Oreochromis niloticus: one gene and its partners. The protein of the gene in region 1 purifies or fractionates together with the protein of each later gene. This does not show direct contact. Links are inferred from orthologs where the notes say so. Each region holds a gene or a part of one and is shown on either strand. Other genes may lie near its edges.

Evidence for each region.
Region 2: the proteins of kpna1 (region 1) and mta3 purify together in Homo sapiens (affinity purification with mass spectrometry; 3 studies listed by BioGRID and IntAct, with this or other methods). This does not show direct contact. The link is inferred for Oreochromis niloticus from reciprocal best matches to the Homo sapiens genes KPNA1 and MTA3.
Region 3: the proteins of kpna1 (region 1) and smarcd2 purify together in Homo sapiens (affinity purification with mass spectrometry; 3 studies listed by BioGRID and IntAct, with this or other methods). This does not show direct contact. The link is inferred for Oreochromis niloticus from reciprocal best matches to the Homo sapiens genes KPNA1 and SMARCD2.
Region 4: the proteins of kpna1 (region 1) and tcerg1b purify together in Homo sapiens (co-immunoprecipitation; 3 studies listed by BioGRID and IntAct, with this or other methods). This does not show direct contact. The link is inferred for Oreochromis niloticus from reciprocal best matches to the Homo sapiens genes KPNA1 and TCERG1.

The regions. Positions count from the first base shown.
Region 1 is NC_031974.2:18,423,229-18,430,422, forward strand, and holds the start of kpna1 (importin subunit alpha-5), read left to right. Parts: upstream 1-4,176; 5' UTR 4,177-4,292; intron 4,293-4,924; 5' UTR 4,925-4,932; coding exon 4,933-5,058; intron 5,059-5,206; coding exon 5,207-5,320; intron 5,321-6,336; coding exon 6,337-6,436; intron 6,437-6,722; coding exon 6,723-6,817; intron 6,818-7,000; coding exon 7,001-7,132; intron 7,133-7,194. Other genes in the region: nanos2 (nanos homolog 1), read right to left, coding at 2,366-2,971. UniProt on the Homo sapiens protein: Functions in nuclear protein import as an adapter protein for nuclear receptor KPNB1. Binds specifically and directly to substrates containing either a simple or bipartite NLS motif.
Region 2 is NC_031973.2:10,590,064-10,597,016, forward strand, and holds the start of mta3 (metastasis-associated protein MTA3), read right to left. Parts: upstream 3,001-6,953; 5' UTR 2,883-3,000; intron 2,877-2,882; exon of another isoform or gene 2,705-2,876; 5' UTR 2,676-2,704; coding exon 2,648-2,675; intron 763-2,647; coding exon 695-762; intron 1-694. Other genes in the region: kcng3 (potassium voltage-gated channel subfamily G member 3), read left to right, coding at 4,565-5,181, 6,679-6,953. UniProt on the Homo sapiens protein: Acts as a component of the histone deacetylase NuRD complex which participates in the remodeling of chromatin.
Region 3 is NC_031973.2:15,815,130-15,822,936, forward strand, and holds the start of smarcd2 (SWI/SNF-related matrix-associated actin-dependent regulator of chromatin subfamily D member 2), read right to left. Parts: upstream 3,017-7,807; 5' UTR 2,573-3,016; coding exon 2,420-2,572; intron 27-2,419; coding exon 1-26. Other genes in the region: atxn7l3b (ataxin-7-like protein 3), read right to left, coding at 5,528-5,607, 7,684-7,729. UniProt on the Homo sapiens protein: Involved in transcriptional activation and repression of select genes by chromatin remodeling (alteration of DNA-nucleosome topology).
Region 4 is NC_031975.2:18,538,918-18,545,789, reverse strand, and holds the start of tcerg1b (transcription elongation regulator 1), read right to left. Parts: upstream 3,011-6,872; 5' UTR 2,915-3,010; coding exon 2,868-2,914; intron 1,488-2,867; coding exon 1,256-1,487; intron 1-1,255. Other genes in the region: sox30 (lymphoid enhancer-binding factor 1), read right to left, coding at 4,816-5,056, 6,032-6,284, 6,391-6,630. UniProt on the Homo sapiens protein: Transcription factor that binds RNA polymerase II and inhibits the elongation of transcripts from target promoters. Regulates transcription elongation in a TATA box-dependent manner.

The DNA of each region.
Region 1 (7,194 bases):
GACATATTTTTATACATCTGTGGATTATTTAAAGACAGTGGAAGTAGGTTTACTGCACTTTTTCCATACATTTCCATTTGGAAATTAATATCCAACATTGTTTTTTTTATGGATTCTTAAGGAAAAAAACAGGCGATATAAGTCGGGACGCCACAGGCAAGTTTTTTTTTACATGATCAGCTCATGACCATGTCTTCTTTTAGAAAGATAACATCCAAAACATACATTCAGCTGTTTATTTTACTACTCTTTGTCTTTTTGCACATGCACAAATTAGTTTATAGTTATTGTGATATTCTCATTTCCACATTTGCATATTTTTTTTAAACCAATCAGAAAAGGTTTCCAGTAAATATGTATGTAATGTCATATTTAAAGGCCGTTTGTTGTGGGGGGGGGGTTTACAGTTTTTATGGAAAAGTTTGTTCACATATTATTCAAAGCCTGCAATATACTGTGTAACACTCAATGTTCAGATTTATGTTCTGGAATTGTATTCAGATAAGCTTATATTTAGAAATGTAGGCTTTATAATGCATATTTAAATGTATGTTAAAGTATTTGTCTTGATATACACCACTGTGCAAGCGTCTTGAGTGACCACTCATTTCTTAATATTTCCCTTTCATGGAGCCAGACTTTGTTGTATTTTATAAGCTTAATATATAAGTTTTTTTCTGGACATTGGCTGCTTTTTCATTCATTTTCAGTCCAGTTCTTGTACCTGAACATTTTCAAACGACTCTTTTGTTGTTTGTTAAGCCACTTAGCTTTGACATATGATTCACTTAAGCATTTTTTTGAAAGTACGTAACACAAGGGCTGAACCAGTGTTGTGTCCAAACATAACAGCAAACCCCTAAGAGGAGTGACCGCCTATTCTTCAAAGAAAACTCAAGCATGAAGGTGATCATTCTAAATTATGACTTTGACGCTCATTAGAATTGTAAAAACTCTGTTTTGACCTTAAATCCTGTATTTCCATCTATTTTGAAACTAAAACTATTGAACTTTAATTCAGTTTCTCACTTCACACAATCGTTTCATTATTGCCTTGAAGTTTTACTTTTAATTTAATTTAATTATTTTTTATGACACATGTTCTCTGGTGAGTTCAGTTACATCTGTAACTTCAGCTGGAAGAGTTGAGAGTTCAAATTTCCTATAATACCAAAAACAGACAAACTACTGATGTTTTTGTAGAATAACCTGTCTGACATGAGGGATAATATAGCATTTTCATTTTAACCAAAAGAAAGGGCTCTAAATTCGCCTTTGGCTGCATGTGTCTTTTATCTTATTCTTTTTCATTAACAATGTACTGACACTAAGGGCACATTTTTAGAAATCTCTGTAATTCCACAGAAAGGTTAGCCACTTTAGTGTTTCACTTGTGACCTATGAAATACCTCAAAATGACCTCCTACCCCCTGCACCCTTTGAACAGCCCATTAAAGCGGCAATGTAGTTGAATAATCTAGTGATATAAGATATTTCTCTCTTTAAAAGGGCCCCGTGTTTATGCACCAGTTCTGCAGAGGCGGTTTATTGCCCGATCAAAGCACGTTGCTCTTTTATGAACACCACGACTCCTGAGTTATGAAATCCCATAAACATCACTTGAATTAGTTTGAACACTGCTTTGTGATATTTTTATGTTTTATATGTTAAGAGAAAAACGTGTATGTGATGGCTGCAAACAAACCGAAAAGTTCATAATCAATAAGAGGAAAGCTTTTTTTTTTTTTTTAGATATTTTTCCCAGAATTTACATTTTTATGCTGTTGGTTTGTTTTTTAAATTACTATAAACTCGCTAATGCTGATAGAGTGACTTCACTTCATTTCACTTATTCTTTTTTGTATCATATTAAACAACAACAACACTGGAGGACTTTAAAGACTTTAATTTTTTCCAAGGTTTGAGAGCGCTCACCCCGGCTCGGGGCTCCACAGATGTGATGGATGAGGGCTCCTTGCTGCAGACTGCAGCGGAGTGTTTGACAGTCAAACATGAAACAGTTTTTGGAACTGAAACGGTCTCTGCTAACATGAACACACACCCCAAACAGTTCGGTAAATATGTACAGTTTCTCTCAGCTTCAGTTTTCAGCAGCTACCAGAACTTGGGACACCCCCAAAGCTGGCGCAGTTTTCTCCCGTTGAGCCTGCGCGTACTGGCGAGCGAGAGCGCTCCGGCTCGTGGCTCCAGATGTGATGGATGAGGGCTCCTTGCTGCAGATTGTAGCGGAGTGTTTGACAGTCAAACATGAAACAGTCTTTGGAACTGAAACGGTCTCTGCCAACATGAACACATACCCCAAACAGTTCGGTAAATATGTACAGTTTCTCGCAGTTTTCAACAGCTACCAGAACTTGGCCCCTGTCTCCATCCTCCCAGCCGCCTCCCACTTCATCTGCGGGCAGTACCTGCGTGTGTGAGCGCTGTCACCGGTGGCTTCGCAGATAGGGCAGGTGTAGTTCCGGAGGATGGGGCAGAAAACTTTCCCGTCGTCTGATTTGAGCTTGTGAGATCGGTACACCCTCGGAGTCTCCCCGTTCTGCTTGCAGAAGCGGCAGTAGTCCGAGGATGACGCGCTGCTGCTGGTGTCCGACGCGCTGCTGGTCGGACTGGACTGCGATGAGTTTTTGGAGGATTTCTTCCCCCGAGTGGAAGTGTGGACCTTACTCCAGGGGGGCGCTTGTCCCTTCTTTGGACGCTCGGTGTCTCGGTTTTCAACCTCACGGTTGCTGCACAGTCTCTCGAACACTTGGCTCAGATTCATGTAGTCCTGCCACATGTTAAAGCAGTCCCCACCGGGGAGGATCGAGCTCTGGACCTCCAGTCGTCTCGGCATTGTGGTCATTTTTTGGCAGAAGTCAAAGGGAGGGTGTGTTTGGAGCGCCTCATATTTATAGCTCACTGAAGTTGGTTTTAAAATGTAACAATGTTTGGATCCTATAGATTGCATGCAGCCTGACGACGTTTTTTGGAGGCAGAGAGAGAGAAAAAAGAACTTTGGTGCAGGTGCAGTCTTTTATGTAGCTTTCTGGTGACCTTAGGACCTCTTAAGAACCTTTACGAAGCCAGTTGACAGGCCTTTAATCGAATGATCGGTTGGTTGATTGATAACAGAAAAATGACGCATAAGCTGGACATAAAGGACTGAAAACACCAAGAGCAAAATATTGCATCGCATTCATTTTTTGTAGTTTATGTTTAGATTAGATAATTTCGCAAAATAACGCAGCAAAATAAATAATAAGAGCCGGGATGTGGAGACTATTTAGCACTGAAAACGCTACGTCCAGGTGAACAGAATCAACTTTCTGGGATTACCTTACCTGGATGATTGAATATGTATCAAGACTATTTAACAATAAGCTTACTTTAAAGGCTCGTAATAGGTGAACTGTTTTGGTATAGTTGGGTCACGCAAAGTTCATGCATTTCTTTTTTTCTGTCGCAGTGCGTTGGCCTTTATCCTCTCATCCCCTCTCGCTCTTTCTCTCACACACAAACACGCGCGCGCACACAGTGTTTAATTGTATGAAGATAGATAGATAGATAGATAGATAGATAGATAGATAGATTAAATTCAAAGTGAATTATGTGATTTAATCTGTTAAGTTCAAATCTCTCTTCTTTCCCTTAGTTTTGCATGTATTTGCGTTTTTTTTCTTTTTTCCCTTTCTTTTCTTATTTTGTCACTTGTTTACAGTTTTATTATTATTCGTACTTCTAATGTGCTCGTATCTGATGGTGCTGATGCTCGTGGGCCGTGTGTGTGTCTGAGGATGATGATGGTCCATGTTGTGTTACTTGTTGTTTGTGTGTGTGTCCCCCGATGACCCCTGGCGCCGGAGCGTCTAGACTACATTAGAGAAGTGTCGCATCCAAGAGCCGCACCTGCACTTATAGAGAGCACATACATAGAGGTGAGTGATGAGGATAAATGGATAGATGGATTTTCGAAGAGCGCACAGTTGTATTTCCTGCACAATCACACACGTAGTGAGGCTGTGTGTATGCCGGTTATACCATGAATGTAACCCTGCAGCCACCGCTTGTTTGTCAAACTGTTTATGAAGCAAACGTCGCATTTCTGTTAATTTACAAAGCAAAAAGAAGAGGGGGGGAAAAAGAGGCGTAGGAGGGGGCGGAGCTTAGATACGTGCGGGGGAGTTGTGGGTCGTTTGCGTTTAGTTGGACGCATGCGCACTAGTATACCGGCGACGGCTGTTCAAACGGTGGCCTAGCGAATAAGGGGATTACGGAGCCCAATCTGACAGGTTAGATAACGAAAAACGTTTACATTTTAGCTGTGTATGTGTGGCAGCGATTCATAATGAGAAGTTAAATGAATTCTTACTGTCTCAGACGGTGGTCTGTCGTTTGCGCTAAAGTTAATGTAATGGATTTTGGTACTAAGCTAACGTTAGCTACAGCAGTTAGCCGCTGGCTGCCAGCTAGCTTTCGATAGTAGAGGAGGCTAAGAGCGGCGTTGACATTAGCCAGCTGACCAAGTGTACCCTCCCGGGGGACTTGTGCTTTTGGGTTTTCCTTGTGCTTGTCCGAGTTGTGAGTTGACAACGGAAGTACTGGACCCCGATCAGTAGGTGGTAAAATGATGCTTTCTTTTCACGCAGCATCAAGGCACGGGAAGCTAATAGGCTAGCTGCTATCCTTACATGACCCTGTTTGTTGAACAATCTTTTTTGAGAGGAATGATGCACACCGGTAGCTATGCCAGCGTTGGCTACGTTAGTTGGTGTCTGTCTTGCTAGTCTTTGCAGTACAGTTGGTGGTGTTTAATAAAAAAAAATATGAAAAAAAAACAGGAGGGTTTGTTGTTTCTCATTTGGGAACTTTGAAAGATTTGCTCCAAAGCATATCCAAATAATAGACTTCTGACTCTTCTCAGGCTGCACAATGAGTCAGGGCAAGGACAATGCACGCCTCAAAAGCTACAAGAATAAGTCTCTCAACACAGATGAGATGAGAAGGAGGAGGGAAGAGGAAGGCCTGCAGCTCCGTAAACAGAAGAAGGATGAGCAAGTAAGCAATGTGTTATACTGTACAACTAAAACCGTCATAATGATCCTGAAATTACATACTGCCAGTGTTTGGAGTAAACTTGAGGCCATGCTTTGTTTGCAGCAATTTAGTGTTGGAAGGGAAATGCCTATTTGTACTTCTGTTGCAGCTTTTTAAGAGGAGAAATGTCGCCACTGTGGAGGATGATGGCACCCTGGACGAGGATGGGATGGCTGATAGCGGCTATCTGGAGTCCCAGGCCAACAACATGGACCCACTCATGGTGAGAAGGCATTCATATGTCTGCTCTGTCACACATACACGCCTTTCTGGTAATCAGATGGCATCTAAACATGTTGGTTTTATGTCTAAATGATTACTTGGGTCATTTTTCTGTAAAACTCATGGAGGCTGTAGAGGAGCTTTTCTGTGTCATGTTCAAAACAACACAAATTTTAATGTATGCAGTGACATTGACACATAGCAAACCACACAAATAGCATGTTGAATCTTTCGTACACAGTGCAGTGTGTTTCTCGCCTCACCAGACCACAATGTTGTATGCAAAGTTACATTTTAGCACACAAACTGTAATTTGCATAAATTCCTCTGTGATGCATTTAGTTCTAATCAGTTAGGGCACTGTCTGTAAGCATGTTAGTAACTGTAATTTGCATAAATTCCTCTGTGATGCATTTAGTTCTAATCAGTTAGGGCACTGTCTCTAAGCATGTTTAAGATAAGATAAGATAAGATAAGATAACCTTTATTAGTCCCACATGTGGGAAATTTGTTTTGTCACAGCAGGAAGTGGACAGTGCAAAAGTTATGAAGCAAAAATTAGAATAAAATAAAATAAGAATAAATACAGTACACAACTGTACAGAATAGAATAAAATAAAATACTATATACAGTAGAATAAAATAGAATAAAATATACAATAAGATAAAAATAGAATACAAATGCTATATACAACTGAGTAAAAAATACAACGATGCCAGGAAGATTATTGCACTTAGTGTTATTGCACATGTGAGGAGTGAGCTACAGCTTTCTCAGCACCACTGAGCAGACTCCCTGCTCCAAGTGGCAAAAATGAAAATGAAACATTCAAAAGTGTGGTTACCCCCCCCCCCCCCCCCCCCCCCCCCGAGTTTCGTCAACTGACAAAACTCATTGTACCAAGAAGATTCCTGATATCCAGGCATATGAGATGTCATCACTCACTGCACACATCAAGTCAGCTGTTACAGCAATTCATATGTGTTATATAAAATCCCCATTGTTGTGCCACACAGGGTGGGGTGATCTCTGAAGACATGATTCAGATGATTTTCTCCAGCTCTCCTGAGCAGCAGCTAATAGGTACTCAGCGCTTTAGGAAACTACTTTCTAAAGGTAAGTGGGGCCCTAGCTTTGCCCATTACAGCCACTCCTGTCTTTGTATTTGTTTCAGTATGTCTTACAAGGGAAAGATGATAACTGATTGAGGCCCAATGCAAGGACAAAAGCATTTTTTTGAGCTGCATAATCTGCCACTCTATCTCACAGTTTACCGCTGCCAAAGCATTCCTGCTAAAATTCATAACTACACAATATCAGAGTGGCCGGAGTGAATGTTACATGGGGTGTAATGCTGTTAAGTATGCCTGTATTAATTGTTGCCACGTCACCTCACACGCAGAACCCAACCCACCTATTGATGAAGTCATTGCCACTCCAGGGGTGGTGGAGCGCTTTGTTGAGTTCCTGAAAAGAAGAGAAAACTGCACATTGCAGGTACGTTTTCCTAGAAAACTAATATTAGATTTTATTTGAAGCTTGTAGATTTTTGTTTTTGTTTTTTCTCCCTCATGTTTGTTTGCAACGTGTTCTTCCTGTTTCACCATCATATCTGAAAGGTTGCATGTGTTGTGAGTTCAGTGCACTAACTTTCTTCATATGTTTTGAATATGATTGTAGTTTGAGGCTGCGTGGGTATTGACCAACATTGCTTCAGGTACATCTCACCAGACACGGGTGGTAATCCAGGCAGGAGCTGTGCCCATATTCATAGAGATGCTCAGCTCGGATTTTGAGGACGTACAGGAACAGGTGAGGAGGCTTCATTTTTACCTTTCCTGGTGTTCACTGACCTCTGGCAGCTTGTTGAGGTC
Region 2 (6,953 bases), on another chromosome or scaffold:
TTGATCAAGCACTCCATTTCACCTTTACCAACATGATGAGCTTCATACAGCTTGTATTTGCAGAAGCACAGCTTTATTAAATGGTATCATGCTGCAGGGACTTCCTGTTACTTCATCATTTATGATAATTACGATGTCTCCTGTCTTTAGATTATAACATTGAGCCTCAGTACGCTCTTTCAGGATGATAATGATGTGATCTGGCATTATTCCACCCACACAATCTGATAATGACCTGCATTTATCAGAATATCTCAGTGCAAGCATGACACAGGAAAAGCTTTTACACACCTATTAACGATGCTTGTGAAGGATTTCGAACAAAATAAAATGGGAATTACGGTAAAATGCTGAGAGAAAAAAAGAGAGACCAACAACACTGCTGTTGAAGGTTGGTATCAGCTTATAATTAAAATAAATCTGCATCTTTAGCCCAAAGCTACATGAGCTTGTGAAATGTTGATAATAATCACTCCACCCACACACACACACACACACACACAGGTGTGTCAAGTCATACTAATGACAGTTGGTAGATCAGGGAACACCTGTCTTTTCAAGCCATATTACAAACAACGTCACAAAATCCACACAAACAATGGGAAAGCGATGGGGTGGGGACAGGAGCAGAGAGGAATTCAAGGAATTCTCTAACATAACCACACATGAAAATGAAAAACGCACACATCAGTACCTTATTGAGTTCTTCTATCCGACGGATCAGGTAAGGGTTACTGGAGGAGTTCTCAAAGAATACGTAATCTGCAACAGGAAACACGCACATCTTATATTTAAATATATACACCGCATGAACTAATACATTGGCACTACAGTAGGTCAAATCAATAGATATGCATATCCTTTAATCAATAAATGTGGAAACTTGTGACTTTCAGAAAGTGTTGCACAAGAAAAGTTAAAAGGAAAAATCTCTAGTCAACAACAACCAAGTTATAGACGAATAAAAGTGCAAAATTATTATAGTCTTTCAAACTGTAGCCATATGTTACCATACTGTTTCAGTTTGTATGAAAAAATAAATTAAAGACAATAAAAACTTCAATATAGCATTTTCTAAAAGAAAGATTCCCCATGCATATAAATAACATCACCAGATGCCAGTATAGCTTTCTGGGTTTGAGCAGATGACCTATATGCCGTAAGGCTAATGCAGAAGCACTGGTTTGAATCCCCCTGTCTCTCCTCCAGCTTATGCGTCTTCTCGACACTGCAAGGTTCCAACAAATGGGACAAATAAAATAAATGTAACAATATCCCTATTTTTTTTTTTTTTAAATTAGAAGCTTGCCCACCAACTTTGCACAACTTCAGTCCATGGCAAATGCTGCATTCACACAGAGTCTGTAATATTTCAATTCACATGTTCCAGACTTTTAAACGGTGCAGCAGCATATTTGTCAGGGTTGTCAAAATATATATGACTTCATGCATGTCATTAGAGTCTATGTATCATCATGCTAATGTGTATGACAGCCCTTAGCCTCTGGGACGGGAATGTGCTGCACCTCAGTCTTGCAATGCTGTTATAAAATAAATATATCAATTTTTAAGAAAATAAATTAATAAACTACATATCCCATCTATTTTGTTTGCAATGTAGCAGCAAAACAAGACTTGTTCCATCGCGGGAGAAAACTGTACTTGAATGCACCTGGAAGTTTGTGTGTCCTACCTACAAGTTCATGGAGTTTACAATGAGCACCTGAAAGCGGCAGGAGAAGTTGCACTAAAGGTGACGTGAGGGGACAATAAACTGATGCACCTCGAAAATACCGGTTATAAAGTGTTGCAAGACATGTCATTAGACGCCTATAGTTTGTGTGGCATGTCAAGCATTAATGCAATTAGGCTACGTGGCCGTCTGTGTATGGATTTAAAGCTCAAGTATGCGTGAATAAAGGTGTAAAAGCAGACACAGCGACGCCATGCGCGGAGACAATAATTTGATGTTGAATTCCAGTAGACTGCTAACGAGCTAGCTAGCAAATCAGCCAGCCTGCATCCCTATTTGATAATTAATTGCACTTGTGGTTACTGTAGGTGGTCACTTTGGCAAAACACTTTAGCACCTGATGTTACCGAGACGGTTAAATACGATCCTTAAATGCAGCAAACGAGCGCTGAGACGGCATTAATGGTAATCAGTGAAGCCATCGCTGGTGCTAACGTTAGCTAAATAAGGTCTCGTACTAATGGCTGCATGCCAGGAGTGGCAAATACAAAGGCAGCCTCAGACTGCCCGTGGTAGCATGTTAACAACCTTTGAAACACACGTCTAGTCGTGAGGTCTATCCGTGTAGAAGCCCCCTGTATCCCGTGGTCTAAGAATTCAGAAACCCGGAGAGCAGCAAACAAGTGAAAAATGTTTACATTGCCAGCTAACCATTTAGCAAGCTGTCTGCTAGCTGCTGTGGCCACGACAGACGCGAGGCCTGACCCATTTTGAATCTCAAATATACACCAACTCTCACCTTCCTGCTTCAACTTAACGCGTCCACGTTGCTGTACCACATCCGCATCTCCACCATTAAATGCAAACGGCTCAAAATACCACAAAATAACGCCCAGGAGCTGCAAAACTGTAACGGTTTCTCTTTGATAAAAAGATCCACATTGACATACATACCTCCGACCCGGTACATGTTGGCCGCCATTTCTGCCCTCCCAGTGTGCAAACCATAAACTAAGAGAAATGGAATAAATTAATAAAAACAATAAAAGTCACTCTCTTTGAAGGGAAAAGGAGCGACAAATTAAGATCGTCGGAACTCCGGATGTGTAACCTATCGGGAGAATTGTGGCAATTCAACCCCCCCCTCCTCCTTCGAGTCACAGCACCCTTTATGATACAGTTAACTCACGGCAGCCAAAAGAAGTCGGATCAACCCGAAAAACCACTGCTGACGCTGGAGGGGCCCGCGCACGCGCAGCACAGCCACACGCGGCCCACACGCGCAGACACTTACAGCCCACCTCAGAAAACACCCAAGAAAGCAGTTTGTACATTTTTTTTTTTTTTTAATTTTTATATCTGTAAAGCCAAAAGTTTAAACTTTAATCTAATCATTGAAACTGAGTCTCTCTAAAATTCCTAACAAATCAGAAAGGGCTCTAAAACTTAAGAGGAACATGAAGAAGTCTCAGTGTTATTATTATTATTATTATCATTATTATTATCATTATTATTATTTTCTTTTATGCATCGTTACATGATCCACCTTGACCAGAGAGGACAGAAGGCGTCATTTCTAATTCTAATAACTTTAAAGTAAGAGAAGCAAGGCTTAGATAGCTTGGAGGGATATACTGTGATATATTAGGAAAAGGATGTTAAAGATGTACCTGGCAGGCAGTAGTAAAAGAAAAAGAGTTCAGAGAAGATTTATGGCTGTAGTGAAGAAAGATATGCAGAGGGTTGGTGTAATAGTGACATAGTGAGATGATGGCAGATAATGCTGTGGCGATATCCGAAAGAAGAAGAAGATTCAGTATATGATTATGTTTTGTATACTTGATGTAGACATCCATCCATCCATCCATCCATCCATCCATCCATCCCCTTTCGCTTATCCTTATCAGGCAGGCAGAGGCAGGGTACACCCTGGTTCGTCAGTCTGTCGCACGGCTAACACATTGATGTAGATATTTTTTTTATATATATTTTGCTATCAAATGAGCTGGTATAGAATATTTGCATTGCTAAGTTAAAATAATTACTATGTTCTTTATGTTTGTTCGAAACAAATAGATAAATAAATAAAGCTGCACAAAAAATAAAAATAATACTAAAAAAGCTTTATTTATATAATGATAATACTAACAATAATAACATTAATAAATTATACGTGTGTGCATATATTTCTCTTGCTATTTATTTTTTTTTCCATTATACTTATCTTAACATAATGTACCTTTTGTTGCACAAGTCAGAGCTGGTGTATATAGGTATCTCTATCTAGCTTAATTAAATGATATAAAATGGTCTACATTTTAATAATGGTGCGGGCATATTAATCACAAGCTTCACATCTATTTTTTGTCAGTGTAACAGGGAATATTACAGTGAGACGTAATTAAGCTTTCTTAAACAAGACTTTTCCTCCCCGGTTTTCATCAAGTTTGACGATAATTTCTCATCAACCTGCTTCCAGAAGAATCTAAACAGTATTTTATAGGAAGAAGCAGTCTCCACTGTGGACTTAAATCACATATTACGTTCTATACTCCTGTTGCTTATGGATTTTTCTCTGCGTGCGTCCGCGCGCGCGCGCTTGTGACATCACTGATGGGATTGGCTGGAGCTGACTGGGGGGATGAGTCTCTTCTTCAGGCTACAGAGGGAGACGGAGAATAGAGTCAGGGACAGAGGGAAGAGTTTCCACTTAGCAGGCACGGACCTCAGCGCAGGGCCACCTTCACTCAAAGCGAACCACGCCCCGGGGCAGGGGAGACGAGTTCCCCAAGTGCCCAAACTCCTGCGATGGAAGGAAAAATGGACTGTGAAGAGGAGTTCTCTTAGGCTTTGAGGATTTAAGTTGTCAAAATGAAGTTCGGGAAGAGCATCTGCGTGCTTAACGTCGGGGGAACCCGGTACGCCTTCACCCGTGAGGTGATCAGGGATTTCCCTCTTCGACGCGTCAGCCGCCTGATTGCCTGCGCAACCGAGAAAGAGGTCCTCGAACTCTGCGATGACTACGATCGGGACCGGAATGAGTTTTTCTTCGACCGCCACGCTCAGGCTTTCGTGTTTATTATGTTGTACGTGCGCTCCGGCAAACTCCGATTTGTTCCCGGAGTGTGTGAGCTGTCCTTCTACACAGAGATGCTCTACTGGGGACTGGAGAGCGCGCACTTGGACTCCTGCTGCCAGAAACGCCTGGACGATAGGATGTCCGACATCGGACTGGACACACTCTCTGAGGGGGACATCGAGGATGAGCCCCAGAGCCCAGGGGAGTCAGTGCAAGAGGCTGAGCTCACATGTCGCGCTAGGTGGCTCGAGAAAATGCGCAAGGCTTTTGAGGAGCCCAACTCTTCCCTTGTAGCGCAGCTTTTGGCTTCAGTGTCCGTGATCTTTGTTATCGTTTCTATGATTATGCTGTGCGCTAGCACCCTGCCGGATTGGGATACAGCCAAGAGAACTACTGTGGAGGAGCACAGGTAGGCGATAGTCAAGGGTCAGTTAACTTGAAGGAATAGAAGCCCCCTCATGAAAATGCTGCCAAATGTTTAGGCGCAATGTGTGCGGATATCCTACAACTGAGACTGTCTTGCGTAAAAGTGAACTGAACAGATGGAATCGTGTCAAATATTTGATTCTGTCATCACAAGTAGCATAAATAAATAAATATACCTCTTAACATTTGATCATGCATGCGTTCAAGGCAACGGCCAAAGTCATTGCGCACTAATATTAATCAGGAGGTGGATGCATTGAGATGTTTTCTACCTCAGCTTTTTGAGTGTTTTCTAGGATGTTTGCTATAATAACATAAAAATAAGAATGACAGCAAAGCAAGATATTTAAAACATCCATGTATTACATTGGCTGCTGGGGATTTGTTCTTGTGCTTTCTTGAATTGATGCCCCTGAAGTCAGTATGCCCGCTGACAAGTTTCAGGCAGCACATTACACCTTAGCCGGACACATTACACCTGTGCCGGACAGGCCCCCAAGGAAGCAAATCAATAACCAATCCATAGCTTTCCCCTCTTATTTCTCCCACCCTCTTCACAGTTAGTCTGAATATGTTTACTGCCCTGCTTAGTTTACACTGCATTGCGCACATGAAGGGCAAACATAAGGTAATCATAGATTCATAATATTTGAGTGGGCAATGAGATAAAAGTAGAATGTGTACTGGGGGGGATTATATAATAGTGCAGGCAAACAAAGAAATTAGGCCACTTACAGGAATCATCATAAGTCAGAGTTTTGTTTTTTTTAACTTAAGCATGTAGGCGCAAGGTGAAAACGTGTATCTCTATGTCTGTGTGATTTTGCCCTGTACTTTCCTGGAAGCCTGAGCTGGCCATTCTCTATATAAGGTTAGGTTATGCTCCCTCAGGCTGGACATAGTTTTGAGTTTTGGATCAGCTACAGTGGTTAAGTAATCAACTACAAGTGGCTTGTATACTCTGAGGTCAAAAGGATTCCAATGTAGTTTCATGTCATTAGATGATGCAGTTCTCTCAGTTGCTACATAATTTGGGTTGGTGTAACTATTCTGATAGTTGCTTTGCAGGTATTTTAGTAATTTCTGGGCTTCTCTGCATTTATATCTAATGCAAGAATCATCATTCTCTAATTCATTTTGACTGGCCTTGCTCTGCTTGTCAATGGGGTAATTGCGTGACCGTCTTTGACACAGTCTTTCTTTGAAGGGTTTAAACCCTCCCTCTGTGCAGTTTCCCGGCAATTTACTAGCCCGTGTATCTGTCCTGCTGTCTTTGTTTACTTGTGCCAGGCCTGAACTGCGACAGCTTTGTTCCTTATTTCCCATCATTTAACTCCCCTTGCTTTGCTTCCTTCTTCCTCACATTTACTGACTGCCAGGCAGTATTTCATATTTCATGCCATCCATATCTCACTGTACCTCCTCTGTCATTTCCTGTTTACAGTGTGTGCAACTAATTTTTCTTCTATCTTCTCTGTAGGATAGTGGAGGCAGTGTGTATTGGCTGGTTCACGGCAGAGTGCATAGTGCGCTTTCTGGTGGCCAAAGACAAGTGGGACTTCCTCCGCAGGCCACTCAACATCATCGACGTGATTGCCATCACCCCCTACTATGTCACTATGGCAATGGCCCGGGCAGGGATGCCAGGTGCTGGGCTCGGGGTTGCTGGAGTCATACTGCGGGTCCTGAGGATGATGAGAGTGTTCTGGCTCATGAAGCTGGCCAGACACTTCCTGGGACTGCAGACTCTGGGGC
Region 3 (7,807 bases), on another chromosome or scaffold:
ACTCTGCTGGATGGCATCCCGGGGCGCTAGAGAAAAAGAGGGAAACTGATTTCACGGAACGATTTCTCCATATCTACACAAAAAGTTGAATATTTCATTTAGGACTAAAAGAAATCAAGGATCTGATTTACTAAAGAGACAGAAAAAAGTACCCATTTTAAAATAATAATAATAATAAAACCAATGATGTGTTAAGCTGTGTGCACATAAATTTCATATTGTATGATCAACTTATATCAAATTCTAGCTTTTTGGATCTGGTGAGTAAAAAGAGTGCACAGTGACATACAGTATAGTCACTTACACTGTATGCTTTTGGTTGTACCATAAATATTATGAGTCATAATAGCCCCATTAAAAACATGCCAAAAACGTAAATGCACTGTTTCTGCAGGTGGGGTTAAGTTTTTAAGTTCTATGGTTTAATTATGAAGTTGTGCATATAAAAACTGTTATGGCACTGCAGTCTTTATCTCCATCTACACAAAGCACAACCTCTTTCAACTTAAAGGTTTCACGTATCAGGATATAATGAAAAGAAATCTGGTTCTTAGCATGCTTTAAAATTTGCTAAATATAACCTTGGATGAAATACAACACATGACATATTACACTGTGTTTTTATTTATTGTTAAACAAAAAAAATAAATAGAAATGCAGAAGCAGTAAAGTAACAGCCAGATGCTGCTAATGCACTTCATCAATTTATTAGTTTCAGGAAGTGTGAACACCTCTGTAACAGCAGAGGTTTTGACAGTTTGCTGGTTTGGAGGATTCAGGTGTGTTAACACGAACACATCAGCGATAGTCCTTGAGAAGCAACTGCTGCCCATCAATCTGGAAAGCCTTATAAGGTAATTTCCAAACAATATGAATCCATCTGTCTACAGTGAGAACTATTATCCACAAATGGAAAGCATTCAAGACAGTTGCCAATCTTCCCAGGAGTGAACGTCCCAGTAAATTCACTCCAAGTTCAAACTTTGCAAGAGCTACTTCTCAGGCCTCAGTTAGCATGCTAAATGTTAAAGTTCATGGCAGCACAATTAGAAAAAAACTAAACAAGTATGGCTTGTTTGGACGGGCTTCCAGAATAAAGGCTCTCACATTTGAACAAACCACAAAACCTCTGGAGCAATGTCCTTTGGACAAGTGAGACCAAACTGGGGATATTTGGCCATAATGCTCAGCACTACATTTGGTGAAAACTAAACACAGCATAACAGCACAAACACCTCATACCAGCTGTCAAGCGCGGTGATGAAGTCAAATGCGAGGCCATATACTTGACAGCTAAAACTCGAGTGTAATGATCACAAGCACACAAACAAATCTACAACAGAACAGCTCAAGAAGAAAAGAATCAACGTGGTGTAATCACACAATCAAAGTCCTCAACCCGCGTAAAATGCTTTGGCAGGATCTTAAGAGAGCTGCACATAAACAAATGCCTGCAAATGCCAATGAACTGAAGCAATGTTGTAAAGAAGAGTGCACCAAAATTCCTCCTGTGAAGGGCTGATAAAGTCATACAGAAAAGGATTACTTCACACTGTTGCTGCTAAAAGCAGTTGAACAAGCTCCTGAATCTTGAGGCGTGCTTAGTTTTTCACACACTGCTTCTGCATTTCGGCTCAGGTTTTGTTATATAAATAATAACCCAGTGTGATGTGTTGTGCTTTGTTACACATCTGAGGGTGTATTTATTTTAAGACCTGTTACTGACTAGATTTTTTTTCTTTTTAATTATGTCTTTTTATGTAACACATCAGTACTGTAAATAATGTATCAACAAATTGTGAGAATTCTCACACTTTGTCCAGTTTGTAAACATTAAAAAAAAGTCTAAACCCAAATGGCTCCAACTGTCAAAACGGGGGTAACTGCGATGGTGTCTGTTAACTACGGGAGAAGCTGCAGATGGTGACAATACTGGCACGATGTATGCAGGCTTGCCTCTGGGCAGATGGGGCTGATAAACTTTTGCTTTCACGCTAACTGACAGGAGGCGAAGCGGGCAACCACGTGATTTTCTTTTTCACACGCGCACAAAACGCTAAACGATATCAATTTGAATTAAACGTCCCACTACTTTTATGTACCACTTCAAATGCCATAAAAGAAAAAAGGTTACACTTAATGATTGCGGTAATCAATAAATAATTACACCCACTTCGAAGGCGGAAGTAGTGTCCACACGGTGATATATATGAAGAATAATGAGCTTTATGGGGTTTTTTTTTTTATTTCCATGTCTCTCGGGTGAGTATTTCAATTAGATAATTTTATTTAAACACCAATTTAAGGCTCCAAAGTAACGAAAGGCTTAAAAAGACATGGGGGTGATCGGACAAATACCGTCACCCTCACCTTTCACTCAGTTTCTTTATTTGACACGGAGAAATCAAGCAGAACCAACCTGGGGGTATTGGGGAACGCTGCTCATGCTTCTGGGATATCCCCCCGGAGGCTGGGGCATTCCTTGCATCCTCATGCCCGCGGCATGCCCAACATTCATGGGGCTCATACTCGAATTCATCGGAGGACCAGTGAAGCTTCCCCTCGATGCCATCTTCTAGAGCCACAAGTGGTTAAAAGTGACGGAAACTTCAAACCAAATTCGGCCCAAATAAAAGTGCGGCAGGCTGAAGTCTCCAAGTAGGTAGCTAACTAACTCCGGGTACTTCTGCTTAGGTCGGTTTCTGGTTTGACAGCAAGCACACTGTCAACAAAAAGCTAGCTAACGTTAGCTCACTTCCTACCGTTTCAAGTTCCGGGATTTGCTTCTACCTAGTGACTGCTCGTTTTGTGAACACGCCAAGTGGGAGCTCTTGTCATCTCCCACTCGCGCCTTTACGACTGAACGACGCCAGATAAACGATAACTAAAAGCTAATACACTGTGAGGCGAATTAAAAACATGATAACGTCTGACTTATGACAAACTGAGTATCTTGAGCAGATAGTTTGTCTGCACTCTAAAGCAAAACCAAGTACGCTCAACTACATGTTGCGTTCACAAACATCGGAAATTAGGAAGTTCCAAATTTCAGCGCGCAATAATCTCGATTTTTTTTTTCTTTTTGAACACGTTAAAACACATGCTAGTCTGAAGTCTTTATTTCTTGTGTATTTTGTAAAAGTATATATTTTCAATTATATTTTATTTTCAACGCTTGATTTCAAATGTGACATACAGAAACTTGCGATAGATTTTGTAATAGTGTAATTTTGTTTCTTCCAAACCAAATCCTGGAGTAATACTCTGCCTCCTGAACACTAATTTTTCTTAAACAGTAATGTGCTGAATCTAGAAGTGTTGAAACGTATAGAAACATACAGGGAAATACAGGATAAAAGAAAAACGGAGGCTGTACAATTTTAGGGAGCTTGAAAGCCAATATTTGGTATGACTACATTTATTCATCAGCACAACACGAACTCTCTTAAGCAAGCTTAAATACTCTTCAGGAATAGTTCTCCAGTCTTCTTAGGGGACATTCAAAGCTCTTCTTTGTTTGGGATCACCTTCCTGCTAAAAAATTATGTCACTGCCAGTCAGACACTTTTCAGATTGCATTGCATGGTGGATCTAAATATGACGCTACTTTCCCATTCATTTTTAAAAGATCCCCTACACCATTGACTGAAACACAGCCCCAAACCTCCAGAGAGCCTCCACCATATTATACAGATGACTGTAGACACCCACTGTTCTACCCTCTACCCTGACGTCCTCTGTAGAGTCCAATTCTTGTGAAGTTTTGCATACCTCAGCCATTTCTCCCCATTTCCCTTCCTTAATAATGGCTTGTTGATAGCCAACCTTCCACTGAGGCTATTTCTGATGAGTCTTCAGTAAACAGTACATAGATCCTCTGTCAGTTTTTGTGGATTTTTTCTGTTTACTGTTCATCTGTTGTAGATATTTGTTTTAGGCTTGGCATTTTTTTTATCCTCTATTTGTCAAGTTTCTCCAAATTCTTGCACACAATACCAAATTATTCCAAGTCTTCAGCTAGTAGCTCTTTAGAAATCAGCTTGTTGCTATAACACACTCAAACTGTGTTATCTTTGGATTTTTTTGTCTAAAAAAGTGCCACTTTAAAACTGGTCCTGTGCTAAGTTATCTGGTATGTGCAGAAATAAAACTACTTCCTCCCTTGAGTTAAATGCCCCCTTTTATGCTTGAATTTAAAGAAAAAAAAACAAAACATTCTCCTGAAAATGGTCAGGTACATTGACTGAATATGAATAGGAGTGAAAAAGCAGCCCACGTCCAAAGAAAAACTTGGAAAGACTTTCAGAAAGCCTTGAGAACTATTGCTCATCAAAATCTTTTAACCTATGGGCTACATTAATGCCTGTACTGCAGAGTTTAGGAAGGCTACACAAAAACATTATCAGCTCCCCCTTGGTACAATAAACTCTGAATAAGAAGCTTGAACTGTATGAACACGGCTGTGTTTACAACATGACAGTTTTCTAAGAAAATGACCTATAACCACACTAACCAAGGCAATATTTAGGCCCACATCCAGCAACAGAAGCATGTGTACATCATCTGATCAACAGCACCCCCTGTTGGTCGGTAAGACATTAATTCTATGTACTTGGTTGCTGTTTTATACATTCACACTTTTGTTAAAATGAATGTGAAAACACAGGACAGATAACAAATCATTTATTTTGCTAGACAGATGAAACAAACTGAGCCATGATAGCAGCAATTCAACTATTAGAATATTTACACTATCACATCACACCAAGGACATATGTAACCCTTTACAATGTAAACACATGATACAAAGACATATTTCAATGCTAGAAAACAAGCAACTCTATCCACCAAAAAAAAAAAGAAAAATGAAGAAACCTGCTTTCTGCACCAAATACCTGCTTCTACACTTCAGGAGTTCATGTCCTGAACATTGTGAAACAAGTTTCCACAGGTGAACGACAGATGCTTGTCTTTTAATTCTGTTTGAGAAATTCAGACAGTGAAAGGTGAAAATAAAAGACAAACCATTAGCAATGATTGTCTTTGACATTATTATTTTTTTTTCAAAGATTGAGATTGTAAAATGTGAGGTAATATAAGGACATCCACTGTGTAATCATTTCTGTATTTTATGAAAAGAAACAAAATAATACTGTAAGCATACACCGTCTCTGAATGAATTACACCAAAGTTTACATCTGTGCAGTGAAATCATATTTGGTGAAAAGTATCAGTCGAAAATGATAACTACAGAAAATTTTCTTTTTAAAAAACAAAACAAAAAACAAAACAAAACAAGTGTTGGTACAATGATTTTCTGAATAAAAATAAATTTGTCAAGTATAAGGTTGGGAGCTCTGGACTGCTTCTGCAGAGCAGCAAACACCACAAACGTTGCCTTTAACCATCAACGTCCATTCATTTCACAACATAAAGAACCAAAGGTGAAGTGTTGTTGGTCATCCCGTGAGCGTGTCTCTGTGTGCATCTCCGCACACATGATAGTGAGAGAATGTTTGTGTTTGTGTTATTGTGAGAATGCCTCATCTTTCATCAGCATGCGCGGGCTCTCCTGGTTGTCCATGCGACGTCTGGGACCCATCATGCCTAGAGGAACAGACGCGCCATTTATTTATTCATGCTTCAATCCAGACACATAATTGATTTCAACTGGTGTTTAGTGTCTCAATCACTACACTATTACTGGTTCTAAATTATATGTGCACCAGACAATTTATTAGGTACATGTTCAACTGCTCATTAAGGCAGATATCTAACCAGCCAATCACATGGCAGCAACTACATGCATTTAGATATGTAGAGATGCTCAAGACAGCCAGCTGAAATTAAAATTGAGCCTCAGAATAGGGAAAAAAGACGATTTAAGTGCGGTTTAAAGAAAACAGAAAATATCTAATGAGCAGCAGTCGTATGGGTGAAAATGCCTCATTGACGCCAGACATCTGGAGTATGCTAATAACCACAATACAGTTAAGGTTCGCAGAAGAGCATCTCTGAACGCACATGTTTAGCCTCGAAGCAGACAGGACACAGTGGCAGAAGACCACAGCGGATGCCCTTCCTGTCAGCTAAGAACAGGAACCTAAGACACATTTCCTGACCAAATTTGGACAATAAAAGGTTGGAAAAGCATTGCCTGGTATGATGAGGCTTAGTTTTTGCTGCAACATGCGTAAAAAAAACAAGAAAGCATTGATCCATTCTGCCTTGTCTCAACTGTTCAGACTTCTGGTGTCAGTGTAAGAGTGTGGGAAATATCTTCTTGGCACACTTTGGCCGATATCAATGTGGACCAGAATCTCTGAGGAATGTTTCCAGCAGTGCGTTGAACCTGTGCCATGAAACATGAGGGCAGTTCTGTGCACAAATGGGGTTCCAACCCAGCACAAGAAAGATGTATCTAATAAAGTGGCCAGTAAGAGTATTTTGAATAATTTTTATAATATGCTAGCAGAAATTTGTAAGTTTTTTTTAATATGTCTTTTTAGTTGTAGACTGGGGGTAGCTGTAGCTCAGGTGCTAGAGCAGGTCAGCTGCTAACTGGAAGGTTGGTGGTTTGATCCCAGTCTGCTCCAGTCTGCATGCCAAATATCCTCGGGCAAGATACTAACCCAACATAGTTCCCTACAACACCCATCAGAGTGTGAATGTGTATGAATGTTAGATAGGGAGCACTTAACAGCTTAGAAAAAGTGCTTGGGTGTGATTGGGTGAATGTACAAGTTGTATAAAGCGCTTTGAATGCTCAGAGTAGAGAACCAGTCCATTTACCATAAACAAAGGTTTAACTGACAGATCAAGGGAGAAAAACCTTATGTTGCTACACTGTGAACTTTCTGAATTCTACAGAACAAAACGTTCTACCGCATACTTTGGTGTGGTAGAAATCTTATAAAGTCATGGATGTGACAAATATAGAGAAAGCAAAACAGGATACCTTTATAGCCACCACAGTCTGAAGCCAAACACCTTTAACACTTCATTATGTGACCAAATATATGGTTATGGTTTCCTGTTGAATTACGCTCATTAATAGTGGCTAATAAAATCAGCTGACGTTAACACGTCCTTGACATTTGGGACAATAAAATTCACCACTTCATTTCATTCTATTAGACATAGATTATTAGGGCATGTTGTGTCTAAAGGAGGAATTCTTGTGTAATTTTGCCCTTGAAATCACTTTCGTGAGCATACAGGTGGAAGAAGGAGCTACTTTTGGCTGCTCCCTTATTTATAAAGGGTCGCCACAGCGGGCAGCTCTGTATGCTTGGCTTGGCAGATTTCTTTTTTCTTTTTGATGCAACCTCAAAGGGATTTGTGTCTCCTCCTGCAATCGGGCTGAGGATTTCTCATTTGTTAGGCGAATTTGTAAACCACTACAGTATGGACTGTACTGACAGATAGGCGTAACCTGGAAACATAATACCTCCAGCCAGACCAATATAAGGACAGAATAAAACTTTTTTTTTTATAAATATACTGTAATGTGAAAATGATTCTACATGCTGATTCACTCTGGTATCCACTATTATAAAGTGATCTGTGGGTAATTTAACTAATAGTATACATATGACAGCATATAGCAAAGCTGCACTGTTTTAAGAGCTGATTACATACAGACAAACTCAAGCAGGAAGTTAAAATCTTATTTTCACTTACTGTTCTTATGCTTGAATGATTTGGATCTTCTTGGCGAGTTTGGATTCTGAGGTGGAAAGACAAAATATTTTACTTTTGAGTTTTATACGCAGACGAATGCTGGGGGTAGTAAAACAGCGATGCC
Region 4 (6,872 bases), on another chromosome or scaffold:
CACGTCACCAGAATAGGGTTGTCGCAATATAAGAATTTTAAACTCGATACCAAAACCCATGACAATACTTGATACCATTTCTGATACCATGAGGAAGATTTTAAACCCATCCTACATCACCAGAATAAATGGCGAAGTCGTCATATCTCAAAAAAGTTAACTTGTACTCACTGTGAAAGACCTCACAGCTGGCTACATGAAATAAAGAAACATATTTTTAAAAAATTATTGTAAAAGTAGAAAAGTTAGTTTATTATCTAGTTCACATCTGCCTGCAGCCTCGCTCTCATCCAGCATGTACACTGCTCCAACTCAGCCTGCAGATCTTCACCTCCCCACCTCTGCGTTAAGAATTGAAACCGCCTGATTCCTGCTCCAGATTTCAGTCTTTATTTGCTCGGATTAGTTCACCACATTTCCCTTTCTGCTTAGCTCAACTACGGTTCACTCCCTGCTCTGTACAGCCAGGAACCTGCCAGGTTTTCTGTTTCTCCATAACCACCTCTGCCATGGCTAAGTATTCGATCAGCCACTCGTTCAACCTGCAATAATTATTCATCCTTTTTCTAACTACAGTCCGTTAGCCAACACGTTACTAATAACAGACAGCTAACAAGGCTATTGGGTAACTGCCAATAGTTAAACAGCTAATGTTAATGTGTGCACTGGTCGGGTTAACATTTTTATCTAGTGGAGATATCATCTGAATTTCAGGAGCGGGACCACTCCTCCTTCACGCCCCCCCAGCCTCAGGCTATAAAAGCCCCCCTTCTCCAATACCTGCTGTTCTCATTTTCATGCCCCACCCTTCCCCCCCATTTTTCCCTCTCTTCCTTTCCTTCATTCATTTATTGTTAGTACATGGGGATCTGCCCAGCTCGGGAGCCATCGCCAGTCCCCTTCGAGGCCTTCCCCAAACCGCAGCACCAGTTCACACTTCCTCATCCCTCATCATTACCGAGGATGTGGTCCCAGCTAGTGAATTTAATACTTTCATGCTGTTGAAACAGGAGCTTTACTAACCTTAAAAATTCCTCTTAAAGTGTTGTTCAGTGTTATGAACGTTAACTACTACAGCTGTGACAGGAGGAGCCATGTGAAGTTGTGTGTCATGAAGGAAGGAAAGACAGGACTGTTGGTATCAATATTGTTGAAAATGAGTATCGAGTATTGATTTTTTTAACAACCCTACACCACAAGAAGGTAACATTTCCATGATGAAAACCATGCTTGTAAAAGAATGTGGGGCAGTTACCTGTAGGTGGGGAGGCCCAATAGGTGGAGGCATCCCTCCTGGTGGAGGGATTGGTGGCATGCTGGGGTCGAAGGGTGGACGTGCAAACGGAGGTCGCGGCGGAGGTCCCCTCATCATCCCAAAAGGAGGCGGTGGTGGCCTAAGGAGTGGTGGTGGGCCTCTTAACACTGGGGTCTGTGTAGGCGCAGGCGCAGGGGCAGGGCCACGAAACCGCACCGCCTGCTGCGCCATTCTGGCACAACATAATAAAAGTTATAGTTAAAGCTTATGATAAATACTAACATGACACTAAACTGTAAATAAAGCCTTTGAAAAGAGTGCAGAAAGCAATTATCAGCTTAATTATTAAATATACAGTACAATGACAAATTATCCTTCACAATACAAAAATAAATTACACTATAAAAGTAATAACATCGGTAATATCATATTAACATCTTAACATTGTAATTTTACAATGGAGGAAGCTGCAGTATAAGCCAGGAATGGTTAGCAATGAATACAAACACTTTCTGCTGACTAATGTGAGACTTGCTGCAGAAATGGGCCAGCAAACAGGAGCGGAAGAAGTACTCAGACCTATTATCAAAGTCAAAGTAGCAATAGCACAACTTAAAAGCACTCTAATAAGAAGTAGAAGTTTTGTGTTACGTCGCAACAATTTAATGCTGGCTAAATGTTCAAAGATGCTATGATAGAAATGAAAGATTTCTCTGGTTCTCTGACACAAAAAATAAACAAGTATATATAAGTAAATAAAAAATAAACTCTGGGCCATTGCCCATCACCTAAACTGCCATTTTAATCATGAATTTGCCTTCACAATCAGTGTATCGCTAAAGTACCCATCAGACACCAACATGAGCTCTGTTGTATGCTGCACTTGTGAACTGTTATTACTGATGCATAAACATACTGCTCGCTTTTCTAACCAGCTGACTGGTTGGTGTAACTATGTCTCTCAGATTCATGTTCCTTATTACAAATACCTTAGGATTCTACTTAAGGACATCATTTAGCGTAAATTTACTTAATTGCTATGCAAGGCTGTTTGAAGACGGTGTGACGTGGACAGGTTGTCCATTCAGACTCTGTGGTGTTTATATTACCTCATGTCTACATGCTGAACCCTTCAGGGTTATACCCGCTTGGCCGTAGATGAACACAAACATTCAGCAAATGTCGTCTTGTGATAATCGGGCTAACATCAACCTTTTTTCTGTCTATTTAAAACAGCTACTTTCCAATCACTTTAGCATATTTTTGCTAGCTGGTTATAATTGATAACAACCGCCACGTTTGAGCCCAAGCACAAAGCCTGGTGATTCGGGTGGCCTTCCGTGAGAGGTAAACATCTGTCTGTTTAATCTGTCTGGCCCATGTTTACCGCGTGCCGGGGAGCGGAGAGCAGAAATCGAGCCGCTCTTCAACACGGGGGCTAGTTAGCTGGAAGCTAGTTAGCTGGCGTGGCTACATTGACATGCACGAGCGCCACATATCAACACCATTGAACCAAAAGCAACGCAGACTAGCTGCATATTAAATGTCCGCAAATGCTTCATATTACCCTCGGTTAATAATCATTTTAACGCTTTACTCGCTGTTATCTGACCTGCTGTCGTTGAACCCGATAGTCTCGCTCTCTGCCTGGTCCGCCATTACAGGAAAATGTAACCGCTCTCTTCCTGGAAACGCCCCTTAGCGGTGACTACTTTTCCTATTCGCCAGGCGCGGACCTCAGTCACGATACAGTTAGAGCTGCGTGGACTGTGATTGGATATTGTCTTTCTTGCGAACGTTCAGTAAAGTGTTCATTGGTCCGTTTGGGTCCCATTTTTCATGATGTCTTTGTTCAGTCGGTACTCCGTGCTGTTGATAATAAGGCGGATTCTAATCACTGGCGATTTGCACATACTCCACTTGTGTTTTGGTGTCCGCGTTTTGTTTGATTTACACCTGTTGAGAAGGCATTCCGCTACTTAAAAGAAGTGGCAGTACACCATATAGTGGAAACGCCCTGCGCTTACTGGAAGGCCTTCATTCTGAAATGTAGTCACAAACCTAAAAGTCAAGTGCATGATATCATCTTAAAATCACTAGTAAATATTATCAACATCTTTTTACGGCCAGTGATTTTCCCTGTTTGTCTCACATGTGCTGTTATCACTCCATTGGATCCATTGGTAATTAATAATTATCAGCCCTATCATTATTTGCTCAGCAAAATTTTTTTTTTAGAAATAACTGAATGAAGACCTTTCATCTCACAGTATTAATAAGTGCCAATCAGGTTTCAGAACCAGAAACAGCTCTTACTAAAGTTATCAACCTGACCTGAAGATCAATATAGTGCTTGGTTGGTTTAAGGTTGGTCAGGTTCTCGACTGGTTGTCGTCATACCCTAAAGGGTAAAGGTTTTTATGTTTCAGTGAGTAGTTTTAGAGCTGCCGAATGAAACCAGGTGTTTCTCAAGGGTCAATTCTGGGTCTACACATCCCAAACCAGTCAGGAAAGATGATTGCCCCTCCTTGATCCTGCTTCTGCTGGAGGTTTCTTCCTGTTAGAAGGGAGTTTTTCTTTCTTACTGTTGCCAAGTGCTTGCTCATAGAGGGGTCTGATTGTTGTGGTTTTCTCTGTATTATTGTAGGGTCTTGACCTTATAATATAGAGCACCTTGAAGCAAATGCTTTTGTGATTTGGTGCCTCAAGGCACTTTCAAAAACTGTGAAATCATATAAAACAATATATCAATCAGGTTATGACTATATTGCTCTATTTGCAGGATCACCCGAATCATCAGTGGGCCTTACACACACACACACACACACACACACACACACACACACACACACACACACACACACACACACACACACACACACACAGAGAGAAATTTTACCATATTACTGCAATACTGAAGCCACTTCACTGGCTCTCAATGTAGAATTACCTTTAAAATACTTCTATTACTTCATAAAGCAGCTTTCAGTGGTTTGGCTCCCCTCACAACATCTCTAATTTGATCATTGTCTATAACCTGATTAGACTTCTCAGGCTATCGTGTGCAGAGCTTTTAACTGTTTCCAGAATCACATCCAGGTATGCCAAGAGGGCTTTCAGTTACTGTGGTCCCATTCTTTGGAACAAGCTGCCTGTGTGACTGTTAACATTATTTTTTTGTAAAGTGGTTTTACTTTTATTATTTGGAATGCCTTAAGACATTGTAGTTTTTATCTTCTATGTTCATGTAATGAAATAGGTATATAAATAAAATTGCACATGAAATGTTTCAAGAAGAATTGCTGATTTACTAATTGCAGCAGATTACACTGTTGTTTGAAGCATGTGTGCAGTCAACATCATTCATCCTGTGTGTTTCTGGCATTAGTTTACATCAGTAGCAATGAAAAAGCACAATTTCTTTTAGTGTTGTGGACTGCTCTAAATACATGACAACAGCTAAACAAAAAGTAGAATTAAAATGAATAAACTATTAATATATGAAAAATGTATATTTGATTTGCTCAAATGCAAATCAGCCAGTGTTTGCTGAACATCTCCTAGAGCAGTCCAACCACATCAATGTCCTCCTCAGATTTGTTCGCCTCGTTTCTGTTTGAAGACAGCTGCTGATTGGTGATGACGCTGGGCTGTGTGTGGCTCTCTAATGTGAATGAACCACTGAGGACTTTCTGAGTGCTGTTAGGCTGCTGTGCTGTTTCCCCGCTGAGGAAGGCTGGAACAATCTGGCCTGTCTGCAGGTAAATGCAGTGGTGATCCCTCCCTTCTTCCATGAAGCTCCTTGAATTTGGACATATATAGAAAAGCCATATATAAAAACACGGAAAGGTAATTATTAGAAAATGTGACAGTGAAATAAAATGTCCAGTAGCTGCCTACTATGAGAAACTTTACATTCTGTTAAAGCACTAATATTACATTTATGCACCATCTATTGCCAAAAGAGCCCTGACCTGTCCAGAGCAATGATAACGGACCTGCTGGGTGTCCTGGGGTGTCTGGATGAGTAACACTAACTGTGAGTTGAGGATGCATGCAGCTTGTTTGCAAGCAGCTTTTACACACACTACCATTGTCTCTTGCTAGGATGGTAAAAGTGGTGACTGGTTTGGGTGAGTGTGCTTGATCAGGTTGGGCTATGGGGAGTTGCTACATGTCAAAGTAACATTCAGATAGACGCCAGGCATCAAACTTCATCTGTCCATGCATCTTTTGTTGTGGCTGCTTGGTTTAACACTAATGTACAATATGTTGATTAAAAATAAATAAATTCCCTGACATAGGAACTCCTGACTGATATAAGACTTAATCAAGTTCAAAGCCTATAGTGCTGAAAAATGAGGGCAAAAGTTAAAAAAAAAAATGCATTTCCTTTAGTGGCAACTAGGGGTTGCTTCCAAAAGCAAGTTGATGGCCATAGACAGCCATGTTAAAATATCCAACTAAGCAACATTAAAAAGCATATTTACAGCCTTATAGAAAAACTGGCTTAAGGATCGATTTGTGGGAATTTTTTGATAACTCAGGATACAGGAGTTAGAGGCATGGTCGCTTTGATTGACAGGCCTGCTGCCATGATTAACGATTTCCACGTGTCTCCGAGCTCTCAACTCAATAAATGGTGTCACTGAATTGTGGACCTCTCTGTGACGTTTATGCTGTTGGTGTACTGCCGCAAGATTAATGTGTTTGTGAGCTATGTAGCACTTAAAAGTCTGAGTTTTCTGTGTCATGAAAGTGTCTCTCTCTCTTTACCTGGCTAAATCAATATGGTAACTTAGACTGGACACATAGGGGACAGGTAGTAGGTAGTAGGGATTATAGTGCACTGGGGCCAATGAAGATATGATGGGGACCGGCCACGTGGGCTGAGCTGAACACAGTGTTGTCTTTTCTTGTGGGGAAAAGAAGGAAACACTAGACTGGTGCTGCCCCCCGTCCTGTCTAACTTCCCTCACTGGGGTGAAATTTTCTCTGCGCATCCTCTTTCTGGGTTGATACTCGTAATCTGGCATGATGAAACAAAGACAAGAGTCAGTGTTAATGGAAAACAGATCCACCTTTACTCTGCAATAAATGTTTACTATCATGTATATAGGGTTTTTGCTTCATACCAGGAAATTGGTGACTATGGATGTTTTTCAGTTTCTGAGCCACTTGAAAGTATGGCTCCTGCTGTTCCTTGCTAAGCTTGGACCACTCCAACCCGAGCTGAATGTTAATGTTTTTAATACTGGCTCTTGTCATGGTTTTCTGCAGGACCTTGCGGTGTATGTGAGCCCACACCATGAAAGCATTCAGTGGCCGTTTAATGTATCCAGTTGCGTCTCTGCCAGTCTGCATTTGCTTTATGTCTGTGGGAGACAAAAATGTTGTGCAACTATATTACTGACAATTTTTGTTAATTTTCTCTTGAATTTTTTATAAATATTTTTAGAATGTTTTTTTAATCATGTAATTAAAATACAAGGCAGTAAAAACTAGCATAAAGGAGGAATCGGATGTTACTTTTCAGTGAAAAATCAAAAAAAGGATTTTGAAAGACAGTTTTTAAATTTTCAATGAGCTACAAAGTCAGTATTTGGTATGACCACCT